Ovis aries: one gene and its partners. The protein of the gene in region 1 purifies or fractionates together with the protein of each later gene. This does not show direct contact. Links are inferred from orthologs where the notes say so. Each region holds a gene or a part of one and is shown in the gene's direction. Other genes may lie near its edges. The genes, in order: CDC27, NEK2, TTK, ANAPC11, CDH1, MAD2L1 and ANAPC7.

Evidence for each region.
Region 2: the proteins of CDC27 (region 1) and NEK2 purify together in Homo sapiens (affinity purification with mass spectrometry; 6 studies listed by BioGRID and IntAct, with this or other methods). This does not show direct contact. The link is inferred for Ovis aries from reciprocal best matches to the Homo sapiens genes CDC27 and NEK2.
Region 3: the proteins of CDC27 (region 1) and TTK purify together in Homo sapiens (affinity purification with western blotting; 3 studies listed by BioGRID). This does not show direct contact. The link is inferred for Ovis aries from reciprocal best matches to the Homo sapiens genes CDC27 and TTK.
Region 4: the proteins of CDC27 (region 1) and ANAPC11 purify together in Homo sapiens (affinity purification with mass spectrometry; 8 studies listed by BioGRID, with this or other methods). This does not show direct contact. The link is inferred for Ovis aries from reciprocal best matches to the Homo sapiens genes CDC27 and ANAPC11.
Region 5: the proteins of CDC27 (region 1) and CDH1 purify together in Homo sapiens (affinity purification with western blotting; 4 studies listed by BioGRID and IntAct, with this or other methods). This does not show direct contact. The link is inferred for Ovis aries from reciprocal best matches to the Homo sapiens genes CDC27 and CDH1.
Region 6: the proteins of CDC27 (region 1) and MAD2L1 purify together in Homo sapiens (affinity purification with western blotting; 29 studies listed by BioGRID and IntAct, with this or other methods). This does not show direct contact. The link is inferred for Ovis aries from reciprocal best matches to the Homo sapiens genes CDC27 and MAD2L1.
Region 7: the proteins of CDC27 (region 1) and ANAPC7 purify together in Homo sapiens (affinity purification with western blotting; 23 studies listed by BioGRID and IntAct, with this or other methods). This does not show direct contact. The link is inferred for Ovis aries from reciprocal best matches to the Homo sapiens genes CDC27 and ANAPC7.

What each region holds. Positions count from the first base shown.
Region 1 is NC_056064.1:45,985,436-45,989,432, reverse strand, and holds the start of CDC27 (cell division cycle protein 27 homolog), read left to right. Parts: upstream 1-1,197; 5' UTR 1,198-1,306; coding exon 1,307-1,333; intron 1,334-3,997. UniProt on the Homo sapiens protein: Component of the anaphase promoting complex/cyclosome (APC/C), a cell cycle-regulated E3 ubiquitin ligase that controls progression through mitosis and the G1 phase of the cell cycle.
Region 2 is NC_056065.1:71,252,223-71,256,518, forward strand, and holds the start of NEK2 (serine/threonine-protein kinase Nek2), read left to right. Parts: upstream 1-1,496; 5' UTR 1,497-1,587; coding exon 1,588-1,683; intron 1,684-2,885; coding exon 2,886-3,103; intron 3,104-3,384; coding exon 3,385-3,625; intron 3,626-4,296. UniProt on the Homo sapiens protein: Protein kinase which is involved in the control of centrosome separation and bipolar spindle formation in mitotic cells and chromatin condensation in meiotic cells.
Region 3 is NC_056061.1:6,999,848-7,003,347, forward strand, and holds part of TTK (dual specificity protein kinase TTK), read left to right. Parts: intron 1-1,169; coding exon 1,170-1,392; intron 1,393-1,752; coding exon 1,753-1,859; intron 1,860-2,237; coding exon 2,238-2,381; intron 2,382-3,492; coding exon 3,493-3,500.
Region 4 is NC_056064.1:50,493,498-50,496,260, reverse strand, and holds the end of ANAPC11 (anaphase-promoting complex subunit 11), read left to right. Parts: exon of another isoform or gene 1-1,916; coding exon 1,917-2,062; 3' UTR 2,063-2,263; downstream 2,264-2,763. UniProt on the Homo sapiens protein: Together with the cullin protein ANAPC2, constitutes the catalytic component of the anaphase promoting complex/cyclosome (APC/C), a cell cycle-regulated E3 ubiquitin ligase that controls progression through mitosis and the G1 phase of the cell cycle.
Region 5 is NC_056067.1:35,666,031-35,669,530, forward strand, and holds part of CDH1 (cadherin-1), read left to right. Parts: intron 1-820; coding exon 821-965; intron 966-2,514; coding exon 2,515-2,690; intron 2,691-2,963; coding exon 2,964-3,092; intron 3,093-3,500.
Region 6 is NC_056059.1:5,759,206-5,762,428, forward strand, and holds part of MAD2L1 (mitotic spindle assembly checkpoint protein MAD2A), read left to right. Parts: intron 1-1,222; coding exon 1,223-1,343; intron 1,344-2,744; coding exon 2,745-2,848; intron 2,849-3,223. UniProt on the Homo sapiens protein: Component of the spindle-assembly checkpoint that prevents the onset of anaphase until all chromosomes are properly aligned at the metaphase plate.
Region 7 is NC_056070.1:54,330,491-54,333,990, reverse strand, and holds part of ANAPC7 (anaphase-promoting complex subunit 7), read left to right. Parts: intron 1-1,349; coding exon 1,350-1,469; intron 1,470-2,939; coding exon of another isoform or gene 2,940-2,979; intron 2,980-3,043; exon of another isoform or gene 3,044-3,202; intron 3,203-3,500. UniProt on the Homo sapiens protein: Component of the anaphase promoting complex/cyclosome (APC/C), a cell cycle-regulated E3 ubiquitin ligase that controls progression through mitosis and the G1 phase of the cell cycle.

The sequences.
Region 1 (3,997 bases):
AGCTTTAGCATCAGTTGTTCCAATGAATATTCAGGACTGATTTCCTTTAGGTTGGACTGGTTAGATCTCCTTGCAGTCCAAGGGACTCTCAGTAGTCTTCTCCAACAGCACTGTTCAAAAGCATCAATTCTTCCAGGCTCAACTCTCTTTGTGGTCCAACTCTCACATCCATACATGACCACTGGAAAAACCATAGCTTTGATAAAATGGACCTTTGTTGGCAAAGTAATGTCTCTGCTTTTCAATATGCTATCTAGGTTGGTTATAGCTTTTCTTCCAAGGAGCAAGCATCTTTTAATTTCATGGCTGCAATCACCATCTGCAGTGATTTGGAGCCCCCCCAAAATAAAGTCTCTCTCTCAGAGACTTTCTCATCTTAACGCTAATTTCCCTTTCCTCTCTTCTGGATTTTTACATCACTTATAATGGGTATCACATAATATAACATTCTTTGTTACATTACTTTTCCGTTAAACAGACCGTAATCTGAGGAGAGGGGTCAAATTGAATCTTTAAATAGTGGCTGCTGCTGCTGCTGCTAAGTCGCTTCAGTCGTGTCCGACTCTGTGCGACCCCATAGACGGCAGTCCATTAGGCTCCCCCGTCCCTGGGATTCTCCAGGCAAGAACACTGGAGTGGGTTGCCATTTCCTTCTCCAATGATAAAAGTGAAAAGTGAAAGGGAAGTCTTTCCAATTTCCTATTTCCCTTTGAGCCATGAATAAGAGTTCAGGAATGGATAAATGACATAAACTTAACCGACAGACATCTCTTAATTAATTAAAATCAGCCCCAAACTCTTGAGTTTAACCCTCTGCTTAATCCCGCACCAATTAATCCAGCAAGCTTGAACGGCGAATCAAGATTGAAGCCTGGCCACGTAACGCTCCCGGCCGACTCCAGCACGCCACGCCCAGCCTATTGGTTACCGATTGGGCGTGCCCCTGCCCAAGGGCCGACGGGGCGTGGCGTGCGTGAGTGAAGGCGTGATCGAGAAGAGGAACATACGCTTTGGATCACGCTCGGTCGTCTCCGGTACTCCTCGACAACTTCCGGCAACGGTGTTCTCCTCCGCCGATTCACCTCGGGTATTTCCGGTCTCCTTCGGGCCTTTCCGTCTGGCTCCCGCGCGCGTCTCTCCACTTCGGGTTTTTCCGTGTCCCGCTCGGAGGTACTCGGCTCTCGCTCGGCCTCCCCCATCCCCCGGTAACGGTCGCTGGTGAGTTTAAATGAGCCGGGGCTGGCCGGGCCGGAGTCGCTACGGGGGGGGCCTGAGGCACTGCAGAAAGTGGGCCTGAACCTCCAGGATGACGGTGCTGCAGGAACCCGTCCAGGTAATGGTAACCCTCTTCCCTGAGGCTTGGCTCGCAGCCTCGGTCGGGAAGCGGCGTATGGCCACTTCGCGGCCTGGTGCGGCCTAGGCCCTGCTGCTTCTCCCGCTTCACCTGACGCCGGCTCCTGCCAGTCTTCTCGTCAGTTCCGAGGCCTTGCCCGCAGCCTCAGCAGCGTTCCCTCTGGCCCTGCGTTACTTCTTCCCCGGGTGTGAGTGGAGTTCGGCGATAATCCCTCCTTTTCCCTCCGGGCCAATGTCGGGCGAGCCCCTCCTGTCAGCCCAGGGGCTGGGCCCGGGCCCGGGTGAGCGATGAGGGGCCGAAAACTCGCCCCAGGTGCTCTCTTGCCCAAGGATGGTTGGGACGCACATTTGATCAGCGCCTGTACGATCTTCATAATGGTGGGGCAAGTTTGCGGGGCGAGTGTTGGTTTTGTTTTTGTTTTCTAGGAGAAAGTGGAGGGAGGGTAGGATCGGTGTTTTTAATACTGATTTCTGTTTTGCTGACAAACTGTCTAGCCCACGTTGCCTTTCCTCGTTCACTCAGTTTCCCTCCGGACAATGATCTGCGAAGAGAACCCCAAGGCCCAGTGCAGAGGCGCAAGCACCTATACAAGGGGAGGGGTTGGAAACAGCAAATCGGTTTTTTCCATGACCTGTGATGGGGATCAGGAGTGTTTTACTGTGCATGTTTATAAGGCGTTCAGGAAATGAAAGACAAATCATGATTTTTCCATCCATACTACACCAAGGTTTGCTTTGACGCACAGTGCTCTGTTGGCATGTAAGAAAACCCTATTGGATTTTAAGGGTGTGATGCGGTGCCAAGTCATTTCCCCCTCCTGCCATCTGAAGAAACTAAATCTTTTGTCCCTTGGTGATGGACCAGGTCTGGGAGACTTTTTACCCTATCATATGATCTTTGACTTGATTAGAAGAGTTGACCTCTATCAGCTGATGTCATTGAGTCATGCACTTTATTTTGAAAGCAAACCGATTTTAGAAATTGCTTCATGTTACTCTTAAAGACCTGTGATATCAAATAGTAAAATATTTTACTACATCACTCCTTCCATATTTCTTTAATTTTTTTCATCACAGGATGAAATACCAGTTACTCCTAGTTGGCTCTTTCTTTAGCTGTTTACATGTAGCAGCTATTAATTTTTTAATTAGTGTAATGTGGGATTCTGTCTTCTGTACAGAATTGTACCAACAGTTCTGTTTGTACATTATACTGGTGCTTTCAAAGCTGTTTCTTTCCATCCAAATTTACTAGTAAAGAGTCCCTTTTTAATTTTTTTTTTTTGAGACCTAAGGTGAAATTGTAAGTTGCTATCTATACCTTCTAAAATGGATAAGCAGATTACTCAAGTTGTTTAATTTCTGTTTCATGTTTTTGTTATTTTGTCTTAACAATTAATGATACCTTTGCCTTATAGATATGGCTTCTAAGATGATAAACTAGTTTTATGGATAGCCTGTGCATCTGTGGCAAGTCACTTCAGTCGTGTCTGACTCTCTGCGACCCTGTAGACTGTAGCCTGCCAGGCTTCTCTGTCCATGGGATTCTCCAGGCAAGAATACTGGAGTGGGTTGCCATGCCCTCCTCCAGGGGATCTTCCCCATCCAGGAATCAACCCTGTGTCTCTTACATCTCTGGCATTGACAGGCGGGTTCTTTATAACCAGAGCCACCTAATTTGCATAAAAGCATGGAGATAAATATGTAGCCAATTCCTTGATAAAGATATTCCTTCTGTGATAAACACATCAAGTTTTCTGTTTTTCATTAAAGTACTCTTAGCAGTAATGCATTTAGATATTTTTAGGGCTCAAGAGTCAAATTTGTCTACTCCCCACACACAAGCCACTGACAGTGGTAATAAGTTTTAGGATATAATTAGGTGAGAATTTTGGTTCTAATTTTTAGTATAAGAAGCCATTCAAGAAGGGATCTAGAGCAATAGGAGAACAATCAACACTGGCTTTTTAAACTATAATAAGTGATTGCTTGTATTTGTAGAGGAATGAGAGTAAGTTGGAAAGGTGTGTCCTTTTGAGGGTTGTCTCAGGGTTTGAAGTGTTGTTGCTGCTGCTGCTGCTGTTAAGTTGCTTCAGTCGTGTCCGACTCTGTGCGACCCCATAGACGGCAGCCCGCCAGGCTCCGCCGTCCCTGAGATTCTCCAGGCAACACTGGAGTGGGTTGCCATTTCCTTCTCCAAAGCATGAAAGTGAAAAGTGAAAGTGAAGTCGCTCAATTGTGTCCGACTCTTAGTGACCCCGTGGACTGCAGCCCACCAGGCTCTTCCATCCATAGGATTTTCCAGGCAAGAGTACTGGAGTGGGGTGCCATTGTTATTAGGCATAGAAAAAAGTTGAGAGAAAAGATGAGCAACTGAGTTTTTCTTTTTTTTTAAAGCTTAAACATGGAATACTCAGTTTGATATACCATGTAAGCCTAAATATAAGCACTTCTTCCAAATTATCTCTTATAAAAAAGTATTACTTTGAGTCTTCAAAAATCTCTCCTATTATGAGGCAGAAATTCTGTCATTTATTTAATTTTTAAAATAACTATTTGGGAAGGAATAATTGCTAGCCTAAGTGACTTGAATCAGTGCTAATTTGAATGTGTATAAAATCCACCTGATGAAATTGATTTTTAA
Region 2 (4,296 bases), on another chromosome or scaffold:
TAACGCAACGCTCTTGAATATTACTTTAAAAAAATCTGGCTGGCAATTCCGATCATGTAATATTCAGTACATGTAATGAATTCCTCATTTTTAACATAAAGAGGATTGTAATTCTTATTAATAGAAAATCAGTTTCCTTTTAATCCCATGCTAAACAGATATTTAAAGAAAATTGACCTATTTGTGCATTGCCAAAGTATTAGCCTTCTTGTAGTGTATAAATTCCTCCATCCACCCCTTAGATAGAAGGCTCCAGGTGCAGTATCCCAGGTAAAAGTGGGACAATTCCAGCTGGCAGGGTGAGTTGAAAATGTTGGTTTTTGTGCACACTCCAAGAGGCTGCATTCAACAAAGTGTTTCAATTATTTATGTGCCTGGCACCTCAGATAATCTATTCAGAGTGCAAAGGTAGTCTTTTCTAACAACAACAACAAATTTTAAGTCTTAAAGGTAAACCTGACTGTCTCTGCCTTACATTGTTGTTTAGTCACTAAGCTGTGTCCAACTCCTTTGTGACCCCACGGACTGTAGCCCACCAGGCCCCTCTGTCCCTAAGATTTCCCAGACAAGAATATTGTGGGCTGCCAGTTCCTTCTCCAGGGGATCTTCCCCACCCAGGGATCAAACCCGCATCTCCTGCATTGGCAGGCACATTGTTTTACCACCGAGCTACCAGGTAAGCCCATCTCTATCTTATAGAACCACCATATTCTTCTGGGTATTTCAAAACATCAAGGACTTCCATATTCCATTTTCCACCTAGAGATTTTGTACACGTCTGGTGTTCAAAAATATACTCTCTCTAGGACGGCTGCACCCTAAAGTCATGTGAAAACTTTAAATCATTACTATAAATATCCACTGTTTTTGCATTGAGTCCTCGCTTTTGGACCTAAAGCAAATACTGTGACCTTTCTACCCTTCCGTTTCTTCATGGGAAATAACGCTAATTCCTGTATTACAAACCAGACAATACATGTAAAGTGCTTGGCACAATCCCTCAGCACTGTCGGCCTCACTCGCGCACCCTTTACAGAGGGCCGGTACTTTTCACCTCTGCACTCAGCTTTTCTCCCAGGATTTAGTATATGACCCCGCCCGGGTTCAGGGGGCGGGAATCTGAGAGCGGAGGGCGCGTGCCGGAGAGTGAGAGGTCACAGTGCAAAGGTCAGAAGGCAGTCGGTTGAGGCTGTGCGCTAATAACTGAAGAAAGATCTCTGGACTTAGGTTGCCTCGGCAACCTCAGCGGAGGAGGCACAAGGTGGCGGGGACCGCCCACTCGCTGCAGCTTTCGGTCCCCAGCCCACCTTGGGCTTTAGCTCCGCCCCTTTCTCCCTGGAGGTTGGCAGCGGAAGTCGACACAGACGCCGACGCGGTTGCCTAGCGATACCTTTTTCCCAAGATGCCCAGCGTGTTGTGTTCTTCTTAACCAATTAGAGAGGCGAAGCGGCCTCACCGCGAGCCAATAGGCTGCGAGGTCGGGGCCCGCGACGGTTAAACCGGGGCTGCAGATCAGGGCGGCCGAGCGTCGGGGCTGGAGCTCTGAGGAGACTATACGGCCCGCAGACGTCCTGCGCGGGCCCCGCCATGCCGACTCGGGTGGAGGACTACGAGGTGCTGTACACCATTGGCACCGGCTCCTACGGCCGCTGCCAGAAGATCCGCAGGAAGAGCGACGGCAAGGTGAGCGCGGGCCTGGTCCCTGCCTCCGCCCCCAGGCCGCCCAGAGGAAGCAGGGAGCCTGGCGGTGTGCATCTGAAAAGCAGGGTGCTCAGAAGAGCCAGCCTTCTCCCCCAGATCTGTGTCTGTCCTGGGTCTCTCGAGGGATGGGAAGCCGCATCCTTTTTTTTTTTTTTTTTTAAATTTGTGAATCTGTGCCTTAATTCTTTGTTGTTGTTGTTCTGTCGCTCAGTCGTGTCCGACTCTACAACCTTGTGGACTGCAGCACGCCAGGCTTCCCTGTCTTTCACCAGCTCCCGGAGTTTGCCCAAGTTCATGTCCATTGAGTCGGTGATGCCTTCCAACCATCTCGTCCTCTGTCGTCCTCTTCTCCTCCTGCCCTCAGTCTTTCCCAGCATCAGAGTCTTTTCCAGTGTCAGCTCTTATCACGTGGCCAAAGTAAAACTAATAAAATGTGCCAAGTAGAATGTATGTATATATATATGTATATTTCTTCTTCTCCTGTCTTTTTTCCATTCTCTTCCATTTTCTTCCTTTTTTCTGCTTTGACCTGCCATGGGCCTTCTGTTGGTGACTGGTAGCTGACTCCTGAGCTGTTTTTAGAGAAATGTAATTCTCTATCATAACCATCAGAACCTAGAACTTTTATGTCTTGTAGTCAGAATTCATTTAGTTCAGTTCAGTTCAGTCGCTCAGTCGTGTCCGACTCTTTGCGACTCCATGAATCGCAGCTAGCCAGGCCTCCCTGTCCATCACCAACTCATTATTCCCATTGTTAGATTCATATCTCCCAAGGTGTGTGGGTAGACCCACACAGAAAAATAATGGAAAGGAAGTTAGCTCAGATGGAAGGGTCTTTACTAAGTTCTCTTACCCTAGAAATTTTGACTAGTTGGAATGGTTGGGGACTTCAATCGCCTTTGCTCCAGCTTTGATTAGAGTACCTTCTGCCAACCTCCCACTAGGCATTGAGGGCAGAGGGTTGGGGGCGGCCTAACCTCCCTCGTCACCCTCTGTTGCATCATTCACTGCTTAAAAATTAGGGGAAGGTTATGGAAATAAACTCAGGGGTCCTCAGCTCATTAAACTAAATTAGATAAATAGTGACTGTATGATCTGTTTACTAGATAAGTAACTTTTTTTTTTAATTTGAAAAATTTGGAGTTATAATGAGTTCATTTATACCTTGGAAATTTTTATTTCAGATATTAGTTTGGAAAGAACTTGACTATGGCTCCATGACAGAAACTGAGAAACAAATGCTTGTTTCTGAAGTGAATTTGCTTCGGGAGCTGAAACATCCAAACATTGTCCGCTACTATGATAGAATTATTGACCGGACCAACACGACCCTGTACATTGTCATGGAATGCTGCGAAGGAGGAGACCTGGCTGGTGTGATTTCAAAGGGAACCAAGGAAAGGTAAGATAAATTCATCTCTTAAATGGGCCTAGTTTTGTTTCTGGAAACATCCTATATTAGGATCAGGGACAAAGTACTTAGTAATGGGGAAGAGTCGTCTTGTGTTTGTTCAGTGGGTCCACAGTACTTTAGAAAATCCCTGGTAAGTCAACACTTGAATTTCATATCCAAATAATTTATTTCCCTATGTGTATACTTAGAAAACTAGATAATTCACATCCTGTCATCTTTGTAATGGTTTCATTCAGCAGATACATGCTACATAACTGCTTTGATTTCAGACAATACTTGGATGAAGAGTTTGTTCTTCGTGTGATGGCTCAGTTGACTCTGGCCCTAAAGGAATGTCACAGACGAAGTGATGGCGGCCACACTGTGCTGCATCGGGATCTGAAACCAGCCAATGTCTTTCTGGATGGCAAGCAGAACGTTAAGCTTGGAGACTTTGGGCTAGCTAGAATATTAAACCATGATACAAGTTTTGCGAAAACATTTGTTGGCACACCTTATTACATGTCTCCTGTAAGTATTTCAAAATGTATATACTTTTAAAACATCTTAATGCTAAGCATTCAAGCAAGGAAATTTATTTCTTTGTTTAGTAATATCTAATAGCCAAGAATTAATAATACTGTTTTATTTTAAATTGATAATTTTCAAATGGACCGTCAGACCACTAAAAGATTATTATTATTTTTTGTTTTGATGTGGACCATTTTTAAAGTCTTTATTGAATGTGTTACAGTATTGCTTCTGTTGTTTATGCTTTGTTTTTTTGGCCACAAGGCATGTGGGATCTTAGCTCCCCTACCAGGGAGCAAACCTGCACTCCCTGCATTGGAAGGCGAAGTCTTAACCACTGGACCCCCAGGGAAGTCCCACCACCAGACCGCTAAACTTCTATATCAGCAATGCAAGTCAGACTTTCACTGAATGGCTGCCACGTGCTAAGCTTGGGGATCATAGAGATGAAATAGGTTTTGTCTCTGCCCTTAAGTACAGTACTTCCAAAGTGCCATAGGTCCTGGACACCAGCTTGTTCTCAGCTGGAGTGATAGTTTAAAATGCAGAGTCCTGGGCTCCAGTCCAGGGACTTAGGACCTCTGGACTGGTCTTTGCACTCAACTTTTTATCTTTTTGTCCCCTACCTTTTTATTTTGGACTCTGTATTTTAGCAGACTCCTTAGATGATT
Region 3 (3,500 bases), on another chromosome or scaffold:
GGGTAGATGAGTCCTTATTTAAAATCCTTAGCTTGCTCAAAACTGAATATGTAACACGTTGATAAGTGGGATATAAGACATTATAATACTGAGTAAGGTTAAACCTTGTTTCTAGATGAGAGGAATTTACCTATTTACCATGCTGCATTGTAATGCATGTTTAGCTCAAATGACTACTGACATAATAGAGACAGGAAGTTTTGAATAGAGAGAGCACAGTGCATGAGAAATAATAAGACTTTTTTAGAAAACTTGAAGACAAATTTGTTAGGGAAGTGATGGGAAATGAAACTGGAAAGTGAAGTTAAGATCAGAACAGATTATGGGTAAAAACAAAGTTCTGAATCTGTTATGTTTTAGTAAAAAGCAAAAGCAGTAATTTTGTTTGTAAAAGGAAATATTTAGCCCTTATTGAAGGTAACAAACTAATAGAAGGGATGATAGTTTCTCTTAAAAATCTAAATTTAATAATGTTTAGTAATGACTAAAGTGACCTGACAAGGACACTGACATTAAATCATGTTGTCTTTTAAAATCTATTAACACCAAAGAAAATTAAAAGTAAATTACAATGTGAAAATTACGGAGAAATGTGGGAAACTTGGAAGGAGAAGAAAATGACCATAGGAGCTGCTTATCTTCTGTAAACTGGTTTTGTTTGATTGATTGAAAAGTGAATTGAGGAGTATGGAGATAATATTGGGTGGATAAGGTTGTAAAGAAGGTTATGTTAGGGCTAGGACCATACAGTTTCTAACTTTTTAATGAGTCATTGATGAAGAATTTTCCAGGAAAGTTGGTACTGGTGGTGGTAGGAGAGGCTAAGGTTTTCTTTGACTTGGTAGGATGCTAAAGTAAAGTTAGGCTGCTACAGGATAGTTTTCTGAGACTGCATATGGTATTTTAAAGCTACTTATAAACATTTCCAAATTCTCTTTTCTTCAAAATATGCAGCTTTTTACAGTAAAACATACCTTCTTAAAAGATATATATGCAGTAAATAAGTTGTTTACATTTACATGAATTGTTAAAGTTTTAAAAAATATTTTAAGGAGTTTGTGTGCATTCGTACTGAGAGTATAAATGATTACCTGTAATTTGAAAGAAAAGTGCAATTTGGCATTTGTTTTTTGACTTTCTTTTTTTGCTATATTTTGTCCCTTATTCAGATAACTCAGGAACTGTTAACCAAATAATGATGATGGCAAACAACCCAGAGGATTGGTTGAATTTGTTGCTCAAACTGGAGAAAAACAGTGTCCCTTTAAATGATGCCCTTTTAAACAAATTGATTGGTCATTACAACCAAGCAATTGAAGCACTTCCTCCAGATAAATATGGCCAAAATGAGAGTTTTGCTAGGATTCAAGTGAGATTTGCTGAACTAAAAGCGTAAGTATTAGCATTTTAATTGTATTCAGCCAACTACATTACATAACACATAACTACATCACCCAAAGGTAAAATGAAAACATGTTGTCAGAACTATTGTAAGAAGTTTAATATTTTTTTTACCAAGTCTTTTTGTTTATAATTAACAAGTGAATTTGTAAACTTTCTTTACAATGTACATATTTCCACAAAAATTACATACTCTAGACTCCACCTAAAATTTTTTTTTAATTAACTTTTAATTTAATTTTACAGACAGAAAACAATATTCTGTGTCTTCTGGGAAATAGGATGAAGAGTTATCAAACAGGCAACTGTGTTTTTTTTCCTTAAAACTTAACTCTGAAATCTTTATTTCAGTATTCAAGAGCCAGATGATGCACGTGACTACTTCCAAATGGCCAGAGCAAACTGCAAGAAATTTGCTTTCGTGCATATATCTTTTGCACAGTTTGAACTATCACAAGGTAATCTGAAAATGTCAAGTCCAGATATTAAGTAAAAGATAACTTCCTATTGTAACTTAAATCATGTGTGTGAAATAGAAATAATGAGGCAAAAGGCATGAAAGTTGGTCAGATGAAAATTCAGGGAAGGATGCTACGTAAGTGTACGAAATATTTGTTATACTAGCCCTTTCACTTGCACATTACACAAGTTAAACTGTTTAACATGAATTGTTACCAGAAGTGAGAAATTGCTTGTTTGCTTATAAATAAAATGTGTGAGACTTGGAATAAATATTTTTGCCTGAGACTTTAAAATTTTTTTCCTAGGTTCTGAAGAATATGTATCTGGGGAGTAAAGGTTGCTGAATTAAAATGACGTATTTTTTACTTTGTTAGGTAATTTCAAAAAAAGTAAGCAACTTCTTCATAAAGCTGTGGAATGTGGAGCAGTGCCACTTGAAATGCTGGAAATTGCCATTCGGAATTTAAATCTTCAGAAAAAGCAGCTGCTTTCAGAGGAGGAAAGGAAGAGTTTATCTGGTAAATGTGTTTGTGTGTGCTAATACTTTTCTGTGGTGTTTAGTCCTACAAAAAAAGGGATTCAGGATAATATTTTATAGAAAAATATTGTTTATTTAGAATGATCAAAATCTAAGGTTAAGTTTTAGATGTAAAGGCGGTAAGACTTGCAGAAGTAACAAAGTCATTACTCTCTTAATGGCATTTTTTTTTCCCTAGTTAAACTCTAATTAGTAACACCTTAAAACAAGTCAGTAAAAACAGTAAGGTCCTGGGACTCCCCTGGTGGTCTGGAGATTGAGACTTCTGCTTCCACTGCAGGGATACAGGTTCAATCCCTGGTAGGGGAACTAGGATCCCATATGCCACAAAGCATGGCCAAAAAATAAATAAATTAAAATTGACATCTACAAAAAAAAAAATACACTTTAAAACAATAAGGTCCTAATGTATAGCACAGGGAATTTTATTCAATATCTGCAATAAATAGTAATGGAAAAGAATATGAAAAGGTGTATATATATATATATGTATATGTATGTGTAATTTAATTACTTTGCTGTACACCAGAAACTGACACAACACTGTAAATCAACTGTATTTCAATTAAGAAAACAAACAGGGACTCCCCTGGTGGTCCAGTGGTTAAGAATCTGCCCAGTAGCGCAGGGGACCCAGGTTCCATCCCTGGTTAGGGAGTTAAGATCCCACATACTGTGGGGCAGTTAAGCCTGTGAGCTTCAAGTACTGAGCCCTGGGTTCTCTGGAGCCCGCGCACCGCAAGGGAAGATCTTGCATGACGCAGTGAGGATCCCGCGTGCTGTAATGAAGACCCAAGGCAGCCAAATAAATAGCAACCAAACAAACTTGATCTAGGCAAGCGAGCGAATCACATTTTGCTGTTAGAAATAAGGAATGTGCCTTTACTCTGGGTAAACAATTATGTAATTATGAAACAATTATGAAGTATCATTGGAGAATTAGCATTACAGCATCTTCATATCTGAATATCTTATTTAGGGACAAATATTTACTATGAGTTGACTGTTAAAGTATTATGTATGAGATTTTTTTGTGTGTGTGTATTCCTTATGTCTTTACAAATTTAATTACAGTTTCAAAATGTTTACAGCATCTACA
Region 4 (2,763 bases), about 4.5 Mb from region 1:
AGAGGATCCCGACGCTTAGCATGAGTCACTGTCAGCATGGAAGGTGGTGTCAGATTCCCCACTAATGGACGTGATGGCTAGGGTACCCCTGCCAGCAGGCTAGTTGGCCCCTGCGCATCCTCTTGCATCCTCTGTTTGCAAGGGCTCTAATGTGTTAGGCGTGATTCCAAGTGTCGTTCTGCTGAGGTGGGAAAGACCCTGGGTGGGGGTGGGGTGGGGGTGGGAACCAAGAGAAATCAGGTGTCACACCCTGTGGGCTCCTGGCACAGGGCCGTCCACCTCACCCCCCCACCCTGGCCTGGGAAGCAGAGTGAGCTAGATAGTTTTGTATTTGCCAAGTAAATTGTTTTTTGGTTTTGTCATAAAAGATTCAGAAAAGGAGTGATGTTTTGTTTTAGAGAGGATTACTTTTAAAAGATTGGGGGTTTGGTGGGGAGAAAAGATCCATGTATATGTATAACTGAGTCCCTTCACTGTTCACCTGAAATTATCACAGTGTTGTTAATCGGCTATACCCCAATACAAAATAAAAAGTTAAAAAAAAAAAAGATTGAGAAACACTGCCCCAAACAAGAGAGTAAGAAGATGGCAGTGCCCATCTGTCTGACTCCATAGGGTGAATGTACCACTGTGGGGCAAGGGCTGCTCCCAAACTGGGAAGGAGGTGCAGGTTTTCAGCAGCCTTTGAAGGATATTTAAGACCTGGCACCCACACCAGCTTCCTGGTTGGCATGCTCCCTTCAGGCAGTGGCGGCTGCCCTCGTGAGTCACGTGGCCTCCTGTCTGTCCCTGGGATGTCGGTGGGTGATAGAGACTGTGGAGCACTGTGAGGTTTGGACAAACGCTCAGGTCAGTTTTCCAGCTCCCTGTGCAGCTCAGAGCAGGTGCTCCATTAGGTCTTGAGAGCACTGTGGCTTCACCGTGGTGTTATCTTTTAACACATTGTACAGTCACCTGTCCCTGTGTCTGGTGTCAAGAGAGAAGACCAGGACCACAGGTGACCAGGCCAGCACTTAGGAACTACTTCGTGGACAAGATGTCTCCTGTTTACCCCAGCTTATCTGGCTGGTGCACTGTGTGCCCTAGTGACTTCTGGATTTGGCTCACGATTGATAGGCATGAGGGGCCCCATGGCAATGCTTTAGGGGAATGGCCCCCCTAGAGGGTGGCGGCAGCAAGCTGCAGCTCCCACTGCTCATGGGGACCTACCTGCTGGGGGAGGACATTGTGCTCTGGCAGCACCAGCTGCGTGATGGGGTTTTCTAGATTCTTAAAAATCAGACTTGTTTCTCTTGATGCCAGGCCCTCTTCACAGTGGTAGCACGTGCAGGTGGGCTGGAGGGCCAGCACCAGGTTCTCTGGGCCGCAAGTAGGATAGAAATGGGGAGGAAACGGGAGGCAGTGCCACTTCACTCCCAGCGGCCGATGGGCTGGGCCATAAGCCCCTGTGTCCCCGACCTGCTCCCTGGTACTGAACTGGGTCCCTACTGCCTGGGGATGGTGACATCTAGTTTCTAAGGCCCTGGCTCACCTCACCTTGAAGAGGAATGGTTTGCCGCTCAGAGGCGGGTCACCTGTGCAGGCGCCCTGACACACTGATGTAACCTTCTTGGCATCACGGGTGCCAAATGGCAGAGCTGCGGTGTGTCTGCAGATGGGCCCAGGCCCTGGGAGGCCAGTGGGCGGGGGTTCAGGCCCGGCCAGAGCTCTTCGTGCTGCTGAGCTCCCACATGGAGGCGGGAGCAGCCCGGGTGGTCTTTGCAGAGGTTCATGTAGAGGCGGCTGCTTGGCCGAGTCTGTGGTTTCCTTCCAGATTCCTGTCCTCTCTGAGCCCTGAGGCCACCCTGGGCATGCTTCCTCCATCGGACTTGTCCTGTGCTCTCGGCGACTCACAGGTCCTCTCGTCCCTCGCGCAGGCAAGGTGCCGGGTGACGACTGCCCGCTGGTGTGGGGCCAGTGCTCACACTGCTTCCACATGCACTGCATCCTCAAGTGGCTGAACGCGCAGCAGGTGCAGCAGCACTGCCCCATGTGCCGCCAGGAGTGGAAGTTCAAGGAGTGAGGCCGTCCGCACTGCCCGATGCCCCTGCCCTCACCCTGAGATGGCCTCACCCCCGCAGTGGCTCTGGGTGGCTGTCTCCTCCATGGGGACAGTCTCCTCTGGCCTCTGACAGGGTTGAAATGAGGACTGGAACTGCGTTTGTTTTCTCCCATCACAACGTTGACATTTTATCAAATAAATAAAACTCATTAAACCACCTAAGCCTGGCCGGAGGCTGCAGTTGCTTGTTTTCTTGGTGCTGAGGCAGCCAGTACGCATACTGCTGTGTGCGCCAGTATGAAAACTCATGAATAAACATCCCAATGTGATGCCGAGAGGCCCTGAGTCACACCCCTGGAGAAGACTGAACCAGGGATCAGCCAGAGGAGCCAGGGTGGGAGGAGTGGGCTCGGGCTGGAAGAGCCTGGTGGGGCCCCTCTCTTCAGGGTGGTCGCTGGGACCCTGGCTGGACACAGCTAGCAGGCACTGCCATGCTTCCTCCCTCTGGAAAGCTGTCCCCAAGTAGGTGCTGGCTGTGTTAAGAGGGCTTTGTCGAGGCAGCTGTGATCGGTGGCCTCAGTCCCTTTCTCCCAGCTCCTTGTCAGGGCCAAAATGTCCTTGACATCAGGACATGTGTCCGCAGGTGTCTGAGGGTCTCCCCATCTAGGGAAGTCAGCCCTTGGGACATCCTTCAGGCACCTCTGCTCCACCTCAGCCCCCCT
Region 5 (3,500 bases), on another chromosome or scaffold:
ACAGGAGAACCTGGGAAAAACTAGGGGCTGTTTTTGTTAGGAATAAAGTTGGAGAGAGTCTCGAGGTATCAGACATGATCTTAGACCCAAGATGTCAACCTATTCTTGGGATTAAAAGTCCCTGACATAAAGGCAGACGGGCTTCCTTGCTGGCTCAGTGGTAAAGAATCTGCCTGCCAGTGCAGGAGACATAGGTTCAGTTTCTGGGTCAGGAAGATCCCCTGGTGGTGGAAATGACAACCCACTCCAGTATTCTTGTCTGGGAAATCCCATGGATAGAGGAACCTGGCAGACTACAGTCCATGGGGTTGCAAAGAGTCAGACACAACTTAGCTACTAAACAACAATGATGACATAAAGGCAGAGGATGGTGATGATGTTGGAGAACAAAAATCATTTCTGGGCCTTGAGAGCAGTGTGAGCTCAGGGACGTTGGGAGGTAATGCCTTGATGCCAAATGCAGAAAGGTCTTGGGGAAACCCTAGACTCAAGTGTCCAGAGTAGATCTGACCCTGCTTGGAGTAAGTCAGAGAGTCTCAGGTTTCCACCTTTATCTCCTAGCCCTGGTCCTCAGCCCCCATGTGGGCAATGGGGCCTTTGACCTGGTAGGTGTGTTCTCCAGCCCATGCGTCTTCCCATGTTGTAGTCTTAACCAGTGCCATGACCTCACTGAAGCAGCAGCATGTGTGTGGGATAAGCTCTGTGCTGGGGAGTCCTTACTTGAGTGGAAGGGAGTGGGGCCCAGTGGAGCCCACACTGCTCTGGTCGGACCCCTTCTCCCATGTCCTCTTCCCGAGTAACCCTCACTTGGCTCTTGCAGCTCTTCTCTCATGCCGTATCTTCCAATGGACAAGCCATTGAAGAGCCTATGGAGATCGTGATCACAGTGACCGACCAGAATGACAACAAGCCCCAGTTCACCCAGGAGGTCTTCAAGGGGTCTGTCCTGGAAGGCGCTCTTCCAGGTGTGTCCAGCCACGAGGAGCTCAACACCCACCAAGACAATTTAGATTCTTTGGACCGCCCCCCTTCCCCAAGTGTTGGGGCTGGCATTTGGGGTCAGGCCTTTCATAGGCGCAGAACTTCTTTGGAAGATAGTGTGTGTGTGTAAAATATCCTCCTGACAGAAACATGTAGAAAATGTCCAAGAGCAGTTTAAGGAAGGAGCAATTTGGACTTGCCTGGTGGTCCAGTGGCTAAGACTCCATACTCCAGAGATCCCACATGCCACAGCTAAGACTTGGGGCAGCTAAATAAATAAACAAATACAGAGCAGTTTAAGAATAGCCTTCCCTGATTAAGAAATAGATCCTTGGGGACTTCCCTGGTAGTCCAGTGGTTTAGACTCCACACTTCCAATGCAGGGAGTGTGAGTTCAAACCTTGGTTGGGGAACTAAAGATTCCCCATGCTGCGCAGCCAAGAAAAGTTAACAGATCTTGTTAAGAGTTTACGGCCCCTGTACAGTCCCTTCCTGATCACATTTTTCTCTCTGTCCCCTAAAGGCAGCCACTACCCTGACCTTTATAGGCTTCCCTTGTGACTCAGCTGGTAAAGAATCCGCCTGCAACGCAGGAGACCTGTGTTGGGAAGATCCCTTGGAGAAGGGAAAGGCTACCCACTCTAGTATTCTGGCCTGGAGAAGTCCATAGACTGTTCAGTCCATGGGGTCACAAAGAGTCAGACATAACTGAGCAACTTTCACTCTGACTTTTGTGATAATCATTCCCTTACTTTCATTCATCTTCTGATGTGTGTACTTAATGCTGGGTAACACCTTGTGAGTTTTGCTTACTTTTCTACACGGTGACAAACAGTTTTCTAAGGTGGTTGAACCAATTTACACTCCTACCAGCAATATACCTCATGGAATTGTAAGACTTCTTTTTGGCCAGTCTGTTGAGTATATGATTATATATCAGTGTAATGTAAAATGGCATTTCTATGATTATTAATGGAGTAAAGAAGCATCATATGTTTGCTGACCATTTGGGTTTCTTTACAACTTAAATGTTCAAGTCTTTTGCCCTTTTTTTTTTCTCTTGGGCTTTTTGTCTTTCGTCTATTGGTTCTCTCCTTCTCCCCACCCTCTGCCACCCCTCCCCACCCCACTGTTCGGTTTTGGGACTTTTACTTCCCCAACCAGAGATTCAACCTAGGCCCTTGGAAGTGAGAGCACACAGTCCTAACCACTGGACAACTAGAGAATTCCCTGCCTATTGATTCTTAAAGAGTTATTTGTCATGAACGTTATCAATATTTCCTTCCACCTTGAAGGCAGTGATCTTAGATGACCATTCTCTCAGGCGGAAATGTGGCTAGGAAGCGAATTGTGGCAATTTCTGGGGTTTTTCCTCTCTTATGCACTATTCATTTAGTGTATGAGACAGAGCAAAAATGTTTCAGTTGAACCAGGTGGGTTCTGGGAACACCATTCATTCATTTGGTAGAATGCTTTCTTCCTCCACTAAGCACTTTGGTCAGAATTTTGGAAACGAATCTTCTTTGCTTCCAGGAACCTCTGTGATGCAGGTCACAGCCACAGATATAGATGATGACGTGAACACCCACAATGCTGCCATCGGTTACAAAATCCTAGCCCAAGAGCCCATGCTGCCACACAACAAAATGTTCACCATCAACAAGGAAACAGGCGTCATCAGTGTGCTCACCACCGGGCTGGACCGTGAGGTCAGGGGTCAGGAGGATCCAGAGGGTGTGGAGGGCAAATAATGTTAACTCCATTTCCTGGATGATGTAAAACTCTGCCAAGGCTGGTCACCATTTAGCATGGTGATGGTCTGAACTTTGCATCTCAGAGTTTGTCTAGAGATTTGAGGCCAGGCAGGCAGGTGGAGTTATTGGTATTTAAGCAGATGAAAAAGTAATCTGTTTCTCTGCTGGGAGCTGGGTGGGATCTGATGTAGCTGTGGGTCCTGACTCGGCTGTGTTCGATCTCTGCAGAGTTTTCCCACATACACCCTGATGGTCCAAGCAGCAGACCTTAATGGCGAAGGCTTGAGCACAACTGCAACGGCCGTGATCACAGTCCTGGACACCAATGATAATGCTCCCAGATTCGACCCGACCACGGTAACCCTGCCCCTTCTTAGACAGTCTCCAAAGAAAGGTCCTTGGTTGTTTCCCAGTATCTCAGGGGTGAACCCTTAGGTAACTTTTCCCAGACCATTCAACTTCAAGCTAAAGAACAAGCAAGTTGAGGTGCCAGTTGTCTGTCATCGTCAGCCTGATGCCTGTTGGCCTAGGTTTCTGAAGCTGCAAAATGCACCTCCTGAATCCATGTCCTCATATTGGGCATCTTAGTAGCAGATCTTACCAGGTTTTATCTATTGAATAAATATCCTCTGGGTTTATACCAGGCACTGTCTTAGACACTGGGCATATTATCACAAACACAGCAGACCATCATTCTGTTCTCATGGAGCTTAGAGTCTAGCTAGGGAGACATTAGACAACTAATAATTGTGTGTAATTTTAGTA
Region 6 (3,223 bases), on another chromosome or scaffold:
AAACTGAATTTAGGATCATCTCCATTTCAGTTCTCTTTCCTCTTGGTGACTGGATCAACCATCCGACTACTGATATAAATCAGAAACTTGGGAGCTATCCCTGATTCATTCCTCTTCCTTACCCTGAGGTAATCCAATAAGTCTTAACAGTTTTAACCATGAAATCTCTTGAATCTGTCTACTGCTTCATCTCTACCAGTGTATCTTCTCCAAGTCTTTATTAGCTCTTGTTGGAGTTATGCATGAATTAGTGCCCTAGATCCCCTGTTTACTTCCAGTTTACGGGAAGTTTTGTTGTTTCAGCTAGCTTCATTTTCAGATTACATCATTGCGTTTTCATTAACTTCAGAGCTAAGCCACCCATAGTCATTCATACGGCTGCACTCAGATTGTTTGGTATGAAACCTCTAGGCAACTGTGGATGTTGCCTAGAGGCCAAGAAGGATAGTTTTCCAATACAACTTGAATCACATCATATGCTGCTTGAAACACAGTAATGACCACTTTAGTTCTTAAGAGTGTCACATCTTTAATTTGGTGCTCATGACCTCGTGTGGTCTGGCCCATTTATCTTGTCAGACCAGCCTTGTCCATCCTCCCTTTCTTAAACTGCAGTTGTATTGGCCTCCTTTCAGTCCTCTGATCCAGTGCTCTGTTTTGTGTCTAAGACCTATACCTTTAGCAGGGAGATCCCACATGCCACAACTAAGACCTCACACCGCCAAAATAAATCCATCATTTCATATTTTAAAACCTATACCCTCTTTCCTGTTTTGCATACATATACGGTTGTCTCTTAGAACAAAACTCAAACCCCCGAGTCAGAATTTCCTATTCTGTGCTTTAATTGTAGTATATGTTGCACCATCATAGGTAACCGCTATTATGTCATAGGAAACTGCACCATCATAGCAGTTAGAGCAGTTATAATTTCACATTTATTGTTGTGATTTGATTAATGACATCTCCTTCACCCTTCCCTTGGATTACGATGGAAGTACCTCGTGTTCACTGTCTTAGCACCCAGTGCTATACCTGGCACAAACACTGAGAATCTGAAATCGGGAGCTAGGCCATTGATGGGGCAAATTTTCTGCACAATTTGGAGGAGAACGAAAGTAGCAGTGGGAGAAGTTTGCTGAGGATACGAAGTTGGTCTTGAGAGGAGAGTTGCTTTGTAATGCAGTGAACTAAAAAAGATGCCTTGTTTTGTATATTGCAGAATGGTTATACAAGTGTTCAGTTCAGAAACTGGTGGTAGTCATCTCAAATATTGAAAGTGGAGAGGTCCTTGAAAGATGGCAGTTTGATATTGAGTGTGACAAGACTGCAAAAGATGACAGGTAAGTAGAAATTACTTCCATTTTCGTATGTTTTTAAATTTATGTTCTTTCCCAAATGAGTTCTAATTATATGGAACAAGTTTCATATAAAGTACAATTTTTTTCTAGGATGTTTATTTTTTTAATATAAATTTATTTAATTGGAGGTAATTACTTTATTGTATTGGTTTTGCCATACATCAACATGAATCCGCCATGGGTATACGCATGTACCCCATCCTGAACCCCTATCCCACCTCCCTCCCCGTACCATCCCTCTGGGTCATCCCAGTGCACCAGCCCCCAGCATCCTGTATCATGCATCAAACCTGGACTGGCGATTCATTTCACATATGATATTATACATGTTTCAATGCCATTCTCCCAAATCATCCCACCCTCGCCCTCTCCCACAGAGTCCAAAAGACTGTTCTATACATCTGTGTCTCTTTTGCTATCTCACGTACAGGGTTATCAATACCATCTTTCTAAATTCCATATATATGTGTTAGTATACTGTATTAGCGTTTTCTTTCTGGCTTACTTCACTCTGTATAATAGGCTCCAGTTTCATCCACCTCATTAGAACTGATTCAAATGTATTCTTTTTAATGGCTAGGATGTTTAATTTGATCCTTAGTCTTCTGTGGCAAAGAATAGTTCACTGTCTTATGTAGATAATGTACTTTTAACATAATTGCCTATGGTGTAAATTGGTGAATTTCACCCTTCAGTGTTTATGGTAGTATGTACCTGGTGGTCCGTTTAGTGAATTGTTTAAAGGTACTTCTAACCATCAGGGATTTTCCTAGATTCCCCAAGCCTAAGATTCAGCTCTATTGTATTTCATTGAATGCCCCAAATTTTCTAAGACACTTCATAAAAAAGTTTCCAGAGCACCTGAATGGGAAATGCTCATATGATCATGTCTAGCATTGTCCTAGGCTTGCTTACTGGTAAATTCAGAATCATTTTTCATAATGAAATGTAGTTTGCTTCTGAAGCCTTTGGGTTTTTTAAGGAAATTTTTAGCTTATAAGAATAATTTGATATTTAATTTAATATCTTTTTTGAGGCAGTAGGGAATTAAGCATTAGGAAAAATGCACCAACAAAATATTTTAGGTACTATAATTTTCATTTTTTGAAAGGTACTGTAGTTTTCCTAACTTTAAGCACTTGGCCAGTTTTCTGATTATCTGATACCAAATGACCTGATTTTAAGACCACCCCTAGAAAATGACTGGAATGATAAATAATAAAATGCATATGCCTCTTGTGGTATATAGGCCCTAATGATATAACTTACCAAAAAAAAACACTCCATTTTAATGTATTACTTATTTGATCTTGGAGACATTTAATCAGTCTTACCAATGTTTTAAATAATTTATTAACACTTAAATTGATTTGGTTTCAATAGTGCACCCAGAGAAAAGTCTCAGAAAGCTATCCAAGATGAAATCCGTTCAGTGATCAGACAGATCACAGCTACAGTAACATTTCTGCCACTGTTGGAAGTTTCTTGTAAGTATTATACAACTTCACATTGACTTTAAATTTGTCAGGGAAAAGACTAAGCTACTATTTTAAGAATTAGCCCTTTATTAAATGCCAGGGTCCAGCCCTGGTGGATCCAGGGTGATTCAAAGGTGGGGATGGAGTCGGCGTCCTTGGAAAAATACATATTTAATTACAGATATATAGAGAGATTAGAAACGGATAGTGTAGTAGGAAGATTAGTGGAGAAAAAGAGGCTGAATAACTTGGATTACGTGGAATAGCATCCATGCTCCAGATGGGAATTCAGCCAGAAAAATGAGGAGCAAGAAAGAACAACATGGGGGAATCAGTCTTTCTGGAAACTGATCGGATTTTTTTATTTTTGGGTTTGCTTATATA
Region 7 (3,500 bases), on another chromosome or scaffold:
AAGAAACTACAAGCAAAAGTGTTTATCAGTAGGATCTAGTTATAGTGTAGCCCTAGGATGGGATATTGAGGAAGTGAAATATAGCATTGTATGCGCTGATTTGGAAAGGCCTGTATATATTAGTAAATAAGCTTTTAAGCAGTGTGTTTACTCTTTCTGTTTAAAGGTGATAGTTATTTTTTTGGCCACACTTTGCTACTTGTGGGATCTTGGTTCCCCAACCAGGGGTTGAACCTGAACCCACCCTGGCCCTCTTGGCCGTGAAAGTGCGGAGTCCTAACCACTGGACTGCCAGAGAATTCCCTGAAGGGGATAGTTTATAGACATACATCCTGCTATATGCCTAAAATATATATGGGTAATATACATGGAAAATTTAGCATATGTGTGTGAAGAAAATTAACAAAACTTTATAGAGGGGGGGAACCTTGACTTTCAGTTTGAACCTGTCTTTAAATTGTACATACAATTTACATTTAAAAGGAATATCAGAATGAACTGAAGTGAAATTATAAATCATGTTCTGTATTTTTCCACTAAAAAAAAAGACAGAGTAATATAATTGCTTTTTTTTTTAGTGCCTGTACATTTTTTTCTTGTTTTATTTCTCTTTATGTAGAGCCTTTGTTCTTTGTTACTAAAGAGCTGATTGCCAGGAGTTGTTTTCTGACCCTGAAGTCATGTGTATTATCCACACAGAATAATTCATAGAAGTAACTTTTGGGGGGCATTCAGTATGCTAAGCCCTATGCTTATTTAATCTTGAAGGAGTTTTTTAAAAATTGAGATACAGTTTACAACATAATTTTCACAGTTCAGGGGTTTTAGTATTTTCACAGAATTGTGCAACCACCACCACTAATTCCAGAAGGTTTACATCCCTCTAGAAAAGCCTTGTTATCTCTCTAGTCCCTGGAAATCACTGACCTTTCTGCCTCTGTGGGTTCACCTATTCTGGACCTTTTATATATGGAATCATGCAGTGTGTGGCCTTTTGTGGCTGGCTGCTTTTACTTAGTATGTTTTCAAGGTTGATCCATATTATGGCACATAATAAAGAAGCAGTTGTGTATTCCTTTTTGTTGCAGAATAATATTCCATCGTGTGGATGTGCCATATTTTAACTGTTCATTAGTTGGTGGGCATTTGTGTTGTTTCTGCTTTTTATCATTAATGATGCTGTGAACATTTGTGTGCAGGTTTTTGTGTGGACATAGGTTTTCAGTTTTCTTGGCTTGTGTACACAGAAGCAGAATTACTGGGTCATATGGTAATCATGTTTAACATTTTGAAGAACTGCCATACTTCTGAAGTAATATTTTGAAGAGATGTTTTCATTTCCTCTTAAGTGTCTTCCATCTGAAATTGAAGTAAAATACAAAATGGCTGAATGTTATACAATGCTAAAACAAGATAAAGATGCCATTGCTATACTTGATGGGATCCCTTCAAGACAAAGAACTCCCAAAGTAAGTTGAATTAACAATTTGGTTACATACTTTTCTCTTCCCCTGTCCTTCCAGCTGTCTTCCTCTGTGTTTTCAGGGACTACATCTGAACATTTTACAAACCTTGTCTCTTATTCCCACTTTGTTCCCCTGTTCTCCTTATTTAGAGAGAGGAGTGGCTTTCTTATAAGACCCTGAAAATGCTGCCGAGGAAAATGGTAGCTGGAGAGTACAACGTGTGTTTAATTATTTTGTTTTTCTTATTGTAGGAAACATGATTTGAATATATTTCCAGGTAGCAACAGTACTTTTTAAGAATCTCATTTTTTGCATTCCGTAGGTATGCCCATTTGATAATGTGTATTCCTTTTATTTTCAGAATTAAAACTTCAAGATTCTTTGTACGTGTTTGTGTGTAGGATATTATTTGTGTTTTATTTGGCAACAATAGTATATAGCACACCTCCAACTGAGATCAGAAGATCTAGTCTCTTGCCTTTGCGTTTAGGGCATACAGGCAGTGTGTGGTGAGCTTGGGCAAGTTAAAAATCTGGCTTTACTTTTTTCCTTGTTGAGGATGATAATACTTTCTCTGGTATAAACTAAGTTCATGTATGTGAGAATACTTTTTAAAGTATTATTCTATAAGGAGTATTAGGCATCTGAATACAGGTTTTCTTGAAGTCCAGTTTAGAAGAACAATGAAAATCTTAGCTCTTTGGAGTGAAGTCACATCATTATTTAATATTCTAACACATACTTTCATGTCACCTACCTTCCTCTCTTCATTGAAAAACTGTGCAGTGTAGTTAACGATAGGAACTTTTGCACATCTTCCCTGCCATTAAAAGAAAAGGAATTATAAGCAGTAGGGACCAGGTGTATTTAGTGTTTTTTCACCCAAGTGTTACTGAGTTTTAAAAGTAATCACACTTGATGAGAACATGTTTAAGCATCTTCTCATGTTGAAGATTTATTTAATATTTTCTGAATTTTAAAAATTAAGCTATTTCTTCATATTTTATGGTGATAATTGTTATTTAAAACATTTGTAAGTATATTATAGACTAACCTATCTCACAATAAGCTGGACACTGTATACTTAATTATATTCTGGTACGCTATGAAAGTCTTACCCTAAGAGTAATTTTTTTGTATATATGAAGGGTGTCTTCGTTTGGAAAATGCTGCTTTGATTGTAAGCTTTGAAGGATACCTATTCCTTATCTTATTGGAAACATTCCATAATTTCTTCTTAATGACTTGAGGGAGTTTGGGGGCATTTTTAAAAATGAGTAATGGCCAAGCACGTGAGCCTTGTGGTATCCAACACTTTGGTGTTTACAGCTGTCATTTTAGGAAGAGCTAGAGGAGTCCACATACATTAGGAGTACATATCCTTCATAGAGCTGTTGTAGCCAGGAGCAAACAAAGATGTGTGCCTCCAACATAAACCTATAATATTTACAGTTTTTCTTTCTTGTCCGTTAGGGAGTTAACTGGCTTCTCAGTCTGTGTAAAGGACAAGGAAGTGAGTCAAAATACGTCTAAATGAACGTCTGTTAATGTATGGTAAACACCGCCACACATTCTTCACATTTTAAAGGAAAATTCCAGTGTGAGATTATCATGTCGTGGAAAATCTTCAGCTTTTAAGAGAAACATACCAAGAAACAATTTGTCACTCAGTTTTTAGAAAATGATGACTGCTTATATTTATAACTGGTGGAATGCAACTTAAATGATGTCCCCAAGTAAGGATCTATTTTTAAAAGGAATTGACTTTCTAACTAGGTGTAGTTCTCAAAATTCAAAGTGTCAGGTAGTTTAAAGGGAATTTTTAATATTTGTTGAGATAGAAGGCCCGTCAGTCATAGTTCATTAATAACAAGCAGTCAAGAAAGGATTTTAAATTTAATTCTTTTATTTTTTTCAAGTATTGACACCACTACTGGAGTTTTCCTTTAAGTACCTTTTTTTTTTTTTTTTTTTTTGCATTTCAACATAGCCTAAAATGAAAAATCTGAGGCCAAATAAAAAATAGTTTAATTT